2 linked regions of the Drosophila melanogaster genome follow. The protein of the gene in region 2 interacts with the protein of the main gene of each other region in a pairwise test. Each region holds a gene or a part of one and is shown on either strand. Other genes may lie near its edges.

Region 1 (3,503 bases), 6.1 Mb from region 2:
CTGGCCACGTTGAAGAGCACCAAGAAGATCTGATAGAACTGCTTCTTGGTCATCTGCTTGCACTGCGGTCCGTTGGCCTTTGAGAACTTGTAATAAACGACGAGCAAACAGGTGATGTCCGTCTGGGACAACTCCGAAGTTAGGGTTAACTCCTTGATCAAACTCCCGTAGAGCGCTGCAAACCGACTGTTCTCCATGCTATCTATGGTGGCGTCTAGGTTTTCCATAACTAAATTCTTTTTAATGTTTTTTATTTCCTTGTAAAGTTTTTTTTGTTATTTTTTTCCTTATTTTGAAACTTTTTTTTTGTGTGTGTTTTCTTTTTCTAATTTTTTTTTTTTTTTGTGATTTTTGTGTTATGTTCGGGTTGGCAGATGGATTTTGAATAACAATGTTTAAAAACTATTTCGTATAAGTTCAAAGGCTCCTGCGTCGCATTTTTTCGTTTTTGGCTATCGGAATTATATAAGTATCCAAAACGGCTCATAGCGCCGTTACCCATACAGTATTCTTTAAAGTGTGCATATCCACTTGATCAGAGCCCCGTGCAGAATGTGAACAGAGATTTTGGAGAGCTTATGATGCATACGCAGTGTCTGCTAGTTCACATAAAGAGTCGCCCACTCTATCGCCTTATATAAACCAAGTTAACACAAGAACCAATCGCAAGTCCTTTTAAGACAGCTCACGCGAAACATTTTGCTTTATTTTCAAAGTGTTGGTGGAAATTTGATATATCATGCTTATAAAAATGATTAATTTGAAATCATACAAAAATTTTGATCAACTACTTTGGCGGCATCCTTTTGGTCCTCATTCATTGTCGTTTGTCGTTCGATTATTATCACAGTGGGATAATCAAGCTTAATCAAACGACAAGCCTATTTTGCGTCCGGATTACAATAATTGAGCATGGAGTCCATGTTGATAACATGGGCCATAAGATCCCTTTCTTCGTTCGATGGAAATAGCCAGCCCAAGAACTCAACCAAAACGGGTTGTTGTGAAACAACCGAGGAGTAGTCCTCAAACGAAATGACTCCATCCTTGTCTACATCAAACTTCTTCATAATAAATTCAGTCATGTCCTGTGAGGAGTAAATTTATTAAATTATTCTAAATTGATAAGCAAGCTTACCGCTCTGAGCTCAATTAGTTCATCTTCGTCGTCGCCTTCGTGGAAGAATTTCTCGCATGCCACGCCCACCTGCTCGCGATCGATAACTCCGGTGTTCTTGGTGTCATAAACCTAATAAAGAACCCTATTAGAGCCTTCTAGAAATGCTTAACAATCCATTACCCACTTCAAAGGCAAACTTCATACGGCGCTCCAGATCCTCTGTGGTGTACAGCTCAAAGAGATCAACCCAGGCACGGGGACTCACGTACTTGGTATCCTTGGTGATGGCCAGAAGGGAGCGTTCAATCACCTGAACATTGGCCACGTTGAAGAGCACCAAGTAGATCTGGTAGAACTGATTCTTCTTCATCTGTTTGGCGCCAGGTCCGTTGAACCTGACGAACTTGTAGTAAACGCAAAGCAAACAGGTGATGTCCAAGGTGGACATCTTCGAGGTTGCAGCGATCTCCTTAATCAATCCACCGTACAGGGCCGAGAACTTGCTGTTCTCGGTGCTATCGACAGTGGAGTCTAGGTTTTCCATGGTTCAGGGAAGCTCACGGTGATTTACTCTTTACTTTGATTTACTACTGGATATATGATATTGTTTGATTATCGATTAAGGAGTTACAATGATTTAATGGATATGTCTAGTGCAGCTGGCATATGTTTCCTTCGCCTGCTTTTCTGGATTTCAAAAATACAAAATATATGGTTGCCCTCTTTAAGCGTTTTATGAGAATTAAAATGTTTCCAATTTCGCTTCCGCGCCATTTGTCTTGCTTAACAAATTTATGCCGTAAGTCTCTTCCAAACACCGTACGTAAAATATATCAATCAAAAGTCCATACCAAAATCCAGCCCAACTTGCCTGTAAATCCGCCAACACTTGGCGATGTCAACTGTGGAGACATTAAGGAGCGTGAATCCTTGCCGCCCTCTCTCCTTCATCATCCACTCTTATTTTATTGTTATTATGCCGTGTCGAGCTGCTCAGCCGCCTCCTCATTTTTTTTGGTATTTCGGTGGGCGTGGCACGTGTGAGTGTGTGCTTGCGTGAGTGTGTTTCGAAGGGGGCATACAATTATACAACAAAGGGAAGGAGATTCCGAACATTTGTTACCCCAAACAAAATGGCTACACAGCCATTTCCGACGAATTTCCACATGGAAGGCTTTACACCCATCTCAGCGCTTTTGTTTGGATTATTATATTCGCGTTTCTCATGCGCACAGCTTTCAGCTTTTTTCTCAGCCTTTGTGTGTTTCATCAGGCGGGTTTGTTTCAAATATTTATTCGAAATGGGGGACAGATGTAGTCCATGTAGCGTGGCTGATGTATTTTTTATGTCGCGGCGTTGTTTTATCGCTTTTAAATTGCGCCAGTTACATTCCCGGCGAATCCTTAGGCTGCGGCTGCGACTTACCCAATCTATTTGCAATTTGTCTTGCATAACCCTCACCCTTTTAAGCAGGCCAGAGCCTCATAAGTTAGGCATTTTCATCACACACCCGAAACACACGCCCCATTACACAGTACTCTCTTAAAAAACATTTTAAATAATAATTACTTGTTTACCATTGCCATTAAAAAACACAATGAACCGCATCGACCTTACCCTGGACGACATGGCCAACAACAAGTTCCTCACCATGTACAGTACTTTGATCAAGAGCTTCGCTGCCTCCACGGAGTTTTCCACCAACGAAGTGGTCAGCTTGCTGATCGTGTTTTACAAGTACGCCCTGAACAACAGGTCCCGCATGATGTCCACCAGCCAGCTGTACAATCTATTCCTCGTCAGCTTTGGGATCTTCGACGTGACCATCATCGACCGGATTTCGATGAATATCACGCAGGATGGCCGATCAGTCTCTCCAGAAGCCTGGATGCGGCTGTTCTGTGTGTTCTTCAACGGAAGTCTGCAGGAGCGAATGAAGTTCGCATTTGAGGTGGTTGCTCCGAAATCGTGGCTACTCCTTTATTAAATTTCCCCATGGACTACAGGTTTATACAAGCGGTGGTGCTGTGGTTCTGAATCGCGAGGTGGTCGGCGTGGCCATTGAACAATTCTTCACTGGCGATGACGACGACGAGGTCAACGAATTGCGAGCGGTGAGTGTACTGACATTATTGACAATTATGCTTGCATTTCAGCACCGTTTCCGAGCAGGACATGTGCGAGTTCATATTCGGAAAATTCGACACTGACAAGGATGGGGTGATAGCGTTTGAAGAGTACGCCGAAATTGTACAGAATCAGCCTGGATTGCTCGAGTTTTTGGGTAAAATATTCCCGGATGACAAGGACAGATCACTGGTGGCGTACTGCCACAACATTGAGTCTATGTTTCCGCCAGAAGGTTTATATTAAAAGAAAGAA
Region 2 (5,144 bases):
ACCAATTAAACTTCTTCTAATAGTCTATAATTATGACTCTACCTCTAAATATTTACCCAAACACGGTTCACTAACACAATTCGCCGATATGGGGAGCGGAAAAAAAAACCGAATGCGAACCCACCCTTAAAAACCTTTGCCTGGTATTTTTCCACTAAGTTCACGGAACTGGGCAACTTAAAAGCGTATTCGCATATTCCTACTTGTGGAACTCACCTTTGAGTAGCGCTTGTCCAAGAGTCGGGTGAATCCGGAGAGGCTGCCGACCACCTCATTGTCACCAGTGCCCCAAAGGCCCAGGCGATCGCGCTGCGCGTATTTATCTAGTTTCGAATCGGGTTTGCTCATCTTGTCTTCCAAATTTGTTTCGCTAGTGGAGCTGTATGAACGTAGTTGCTGTTGTTGTTGCTGTTGCTGGTGGTGAAGGGCGTGCAAACTGCTCTGCAGCTGATTCCAGTGGTGTCGCGAGGATAACGATAACGGCAGACCCTTGGGCAGTTCCAAATCGGTGGCTAAGGCTATATTACCCGGATTCGAATCTCTGTCCCTATGCGTTTCCGTATCCGTATGCGGCGATGTGTCCACTTCGGCGGCACTTTGCGTTGTGATTCGTGTCGTTAGTTTTGCGAAATTGGAAAGTTCGTATTCGAGTGTGGTTGTCGTTGTGGTCGTATGATTTTTACACACACGACTACTACAACAGCTCTGACTCTCTCTCTCATGGCTATTGTTGTTGTTGCTGTTGCTGTTTCTCTTCGTGTAACAGCCGAGCTCGCGCTCTTTGCCGCGACTATATGAGGAAGGACTCTGCGAATTGTTGGCGGTGGGATAAACCGGCGTGCTGAGGGAGAGAGAGAGAGCAGACAATATGTGAATGAATGTCAATGCGGGAGTGACAATAACAACCAATTCGTCACCAACATTCGGATACTCTTTCTGAAAGAACCGATGTTAACATTTTTAATTGAATTTTAATCGTACACACTCCACGTTCCCACACTAACAATTGTTAATAATATATATATTACATTTTAATAGTATATATATCTTATTTGAATAGTATATTATATAACAGTATATAATAATATATGAATTTCACCATAAAAAGCTTTTTGTAATAGCCAAAAAGTCGTAGAGCAATAAAATGGTATTTAGGGTTAAAAGAGGCCCTTAAAGGGTGGGTACTCTTCGTTTCAGATTCCTTATCAAGGTTTTCAGAACCTTTGAAATGCGCTGATATGTTTGAACGTATGTGCATGGTCATATGATGAGGCGATGCATCGCAGACACGCCTTCCAGATGGAAACCGATAAGTGGTGCCAAAGTGACACTGATTATTGCCAATTCAGAAACACACCCTCTTGATCTGTGGTCCAATCGTATGACACCACATTATACTTGTTATTCTGAAATTCTTGCATTCGACTCACGGTCCAAAAGTTTTTCTGATACCAGAACAGCGTCGTAGGATCGAGTACATGGCGGTGCTCTTAAAAGTCTTCTATATTATATACTTATTAGTATATTGATTTGCCGACAATTATCTCACTGAGTATTTGACTTTTGTCTGCGTTGCTGCAGCTTTCGTGCTGAACTGAACCGCAGTATTCGATTTGTTTTGCTACCACCATATGTATACACTTTGCGATTTTGTTTTGTTTCCGCGCTCTTTGGCTCTTTCTCTCCGATTAGTTTCAGTTGTGTGGGGTATATCAGCTGACTGATAAGGGCGGTGCAAACACTATCTGCACATATAAACGCCATTAAACAACGATTATTACCATCAAATCATTTGTCTGGGACCTGGAAAACATTGCGATGCGGCGTGAATAGCATGCGAAAAGTTTCCGTGAGAACAGCAGCGGTCGAAATAATAGTATTCAAATTAGACTATAGAGTATTGCAGTTAGCAATTTCTTATCTACTATTATTTATAATCAGTAGCTTTGATTTTAATGTAAACTTAAGTACAACGTGCGTGCATTACTTGAATTAAATAAACCGAACCTTTTCTATTAGAGATTATTAGACTCGATGGCGTTAAATATAAACCAATAATACCTCCTGAACTTGTGGCATCTGACTAAGTATAAATTATTTAAAGAGACGCCTCAAGGTAGAAGCCCCAAACCCCAACCTTAACCTTCAGTGTCCCGAATCGCTTCAGTTCCCGCCCCACTTTGCACTTGACTCACTCATACGACCGGTGGGCCCGTTCCGCTTTTGCTCGGATGTCTGTTTGATATATTCAATTATTACACAAAAATTGAAAGTAAAACACGGCAGGCGAATAAATTGGAATATATCACACATGTTTGTGTGTGTGCCCGAGCAACCTTCATAAATATTAACAATTTACTTCAGCTTTGCCAACGAATTACATTTTCCAAGTACCTTCGTGAGCAAAACACACCTGTCGCTCTAACTTTTTTTTTTCTTTTTACTTCGAAAATCGTTAATTAAGAAGGTGGTGCTCTAATTTTTTATCGATGGCGTGTGTCAGAAGTTATTCTTTTTTATCGCAACGCCGACGAGTCGCCTGTAAATCGTTGATAAAACACTAGTAAAACGAATCATTGACCACTAATGACACCTCGAGAAACAAATTATTGGAGGGGCGGGGCTGAGGGCGGTGGCTTGGCTTGCATTTGCACAAGAAAAAACTTGTAGTTGCAGGAAAGGATCTACTTAAATATATTAAGTATCGAAACAAAAAATGTTAAGAATTTGTAATGGTTTTTTATAAATAACTTTTTTATGTAAAATATAATTTCCTAATCTTTCAGTTATTAGTTTTTAGTAACAATAAAAATAAACAAATTAATTACAAACATGTTTGCGCATTAGTAAACACAAACTCTTTGGCCAACTCTCGCATTTTCGAAATCCTCTTTTGCCAATCGCTTGAGTTCAGCTTCAGTTTGTTCACTTTTCCATTTCATTTCTTACCCATTTTCATCGAAATTTGTTATGACATTGCGATCGGCGCAAATGGAACTGGAATTACCCATTTTGGGTTCTAAATTTCAGTTAAATTAGCTCCAGTTAAATAGTTATAGTTAATTATTTGGTAAACGCAAAACTTGTGAACTTTTCTAACGCGAAAATTAACTCAGTTCGCTTGACCACGCGATGTTTCACCGGAATTATTAAAAACAGTTATTAACAAAAATTAAAAAAAGTGTATTTTGAGCTATTGCGCTTGACTTAGCAACTCCGAACCGCCTGAAACTGAATCAAAAACTGAACTCGCGCTGAAATCGCGGCTCTGCGAACACCGGAGGCAACTTGCTAGCAGCGGGCGGCCCAAAGGAGAAGGAGAAGGAGAGTGTCCGGTGCTGCCCTCCCGCTCGCACCCGCACGCAGGCAGCACGCGACATTTGCTCCACTGAGTCACTTTGGTAGGCCCAGACGGCTACAGTGGCCCCTCGCTAAAAAGGATGAAATCTAAAATGCATTTTTAATAGGTTTTTAGTTTATTTCTTATATAAAAATCAATAACTTTAAACACTATTTAACGTTGATATTAGGTAATCTGCTGTTTTATTTAACTATAATTTGTAAATTTTTATGCTTTACAAAAGGACTATACAAAAATGGGTTTGTTTGTATTCTCTTTTTAATTTTAATCTAGCAAGACTTTCATTTCGGGGTTTCACCGTATTTGATTAATCGTTGCAGCCTTAGAGAAGCTTTGGCGCTGAGTTGTACTTCACTTGGAGTCACACAAAACCTGAGCGGTTGGTTAATCGCAGTGACCTCTGGGCGGCACACACAAATGCATGAAGCAATTTGTTGCTGGCCAATTAAAAAATAATAATTTCAGCTTTCAAAGAAGGCAACTCGATTGCTGACCATCGCGTCCCAGTCGGCTGCACTTGGCAAGTGGCGAAGAAAAATTTATAAATCCAATGAATTCCGGGTCATTTCAAATGCACTGAGTTGAAACGATGGGGAAGGGGACTCGGTAGTCGGTGTGGTGGATCCTTAGGCTTTTTTCGCCTTTTGACTCTGATTTTATCACCTAATGATTTTACCGCTGTTTCATTTGTCGCCTGGGTGGCACTCGAATTTTAATTAGATTTGCTTTATTGCACTGCTGTCTGTTGAAATCATAATATATATTGCACTAATGTTCAAAGATCTTGTTCAATTGTGCAAATATGACACACATTAATTACTGGGTTTGGTTTGCTATATCGAATTTATTGTTGAAGTGTCGGCTTGTGTTTACTGTCTAAAATTTGCGAAAGTGTCGTATGAAAAGTTGCAACACGATTTCAATTGCTGCCAGGGTCAATTGTAATTTCAGTTAAGTCAGTAAAAAAAAACCATACGGCGGAATCGTGGCTGCATTAATATTGGTATTATCGACATATACGAGAAAATTGTTGGATTATTGAAGTAAAGTGTGCATATAAAACTAACAAAGAATGTCGCTATACCATTATTAACTTATCTACATATGTATTTTAAAAACCACAGATAACATCGTAGTTTGTTAAAATTTCGATTCATTCTATCTAGTTCATACAATAGTGACCACGAAAGTATCTTAAGGAGGCCAACAATAACAATGATTATACAAGCGAAACTCCAAAAAATACTAAAAACCACTCCGAATGGAAATTTCCAGTTAGAAATTTTTATAATTTATATTTTTTTAAATTCGTTTAACAGAACCATAAAACCTAGCATTGCAAAACATTACTGATAAGTGATAGTTCGCTTAAAATATAATAGATGGCGCTATCGTTAAGCTCTAGATTTGGCCGTTAATTTTAGGCGCTACTGTTAATGTAATAAAAGCTTAAAAGCTTTGTTTGCGTTGGAGTGTTCATAAATAATAACAGATGGCGCCAGCTGCAGTTCTGAAAACGACCGTTATTTATCTATGATTAACGGTTTCTTTTGTATTATACAAATACAAATAATAATAATAATTGTAACAATAACACCTTTTGTTATGAATTACATTATTTCACCATAAATTGGTGGGTCAATTTAGGAATGCATGTTTGTAACCTGCGTTAGAAAATAAAATCAATGACCAATTGATAGTTTGCCATTTTATAATACAACACTCAAACCGCGCGATTGCTATTTTAGAGGTGTGTCAGCTGATTTTCCGAGTCCAGTGCTTT

What was found.
Region 1: the proteins of Men (region 2) and CG15177 interact in a two-hybrid assay, tested with the Drosophila melanogaster proteins (one large-scale study listed by BioGRID).

The regions. Positions count from the first base shown.
Region 1 is NT_033777.3:6,627,527-6,631,029, forward strand, and holds CG15177 (uncharacterized protein), read right to left. Parts: upstream 1,796-3,503; 5' UTR 1,665-1,795; coding exon 1,305-1,664; intron 1,250-1,304; coding exon 1,139-1,249; intron 1,089-1,138; coding exon 882-1,088; 3' UTR 678-881; downstream 1-677. Other genes in the region: sowi (solwind), read right to left, coding at 1-227; sunz (sungrazer), read left to right, coding at 2,719-3,072, 3,128-3,235, 3,294-3,494.
Region 2 is NT_033777.3:12,719,187-12,724,330, forward strand, and holds the start of Men (malic enzyme), read right to left. Parts: upstream 3,257-5,144; 5' UTR 3,012-3,256; coding exon 2,950-3,011; intron 1,599-2,949; exon of another isoform or gene 1,481-1,598; coding exon of another isoform or gene 1,431-1,480; intron 842-1,430; coding exon 217-841; intron 1-216.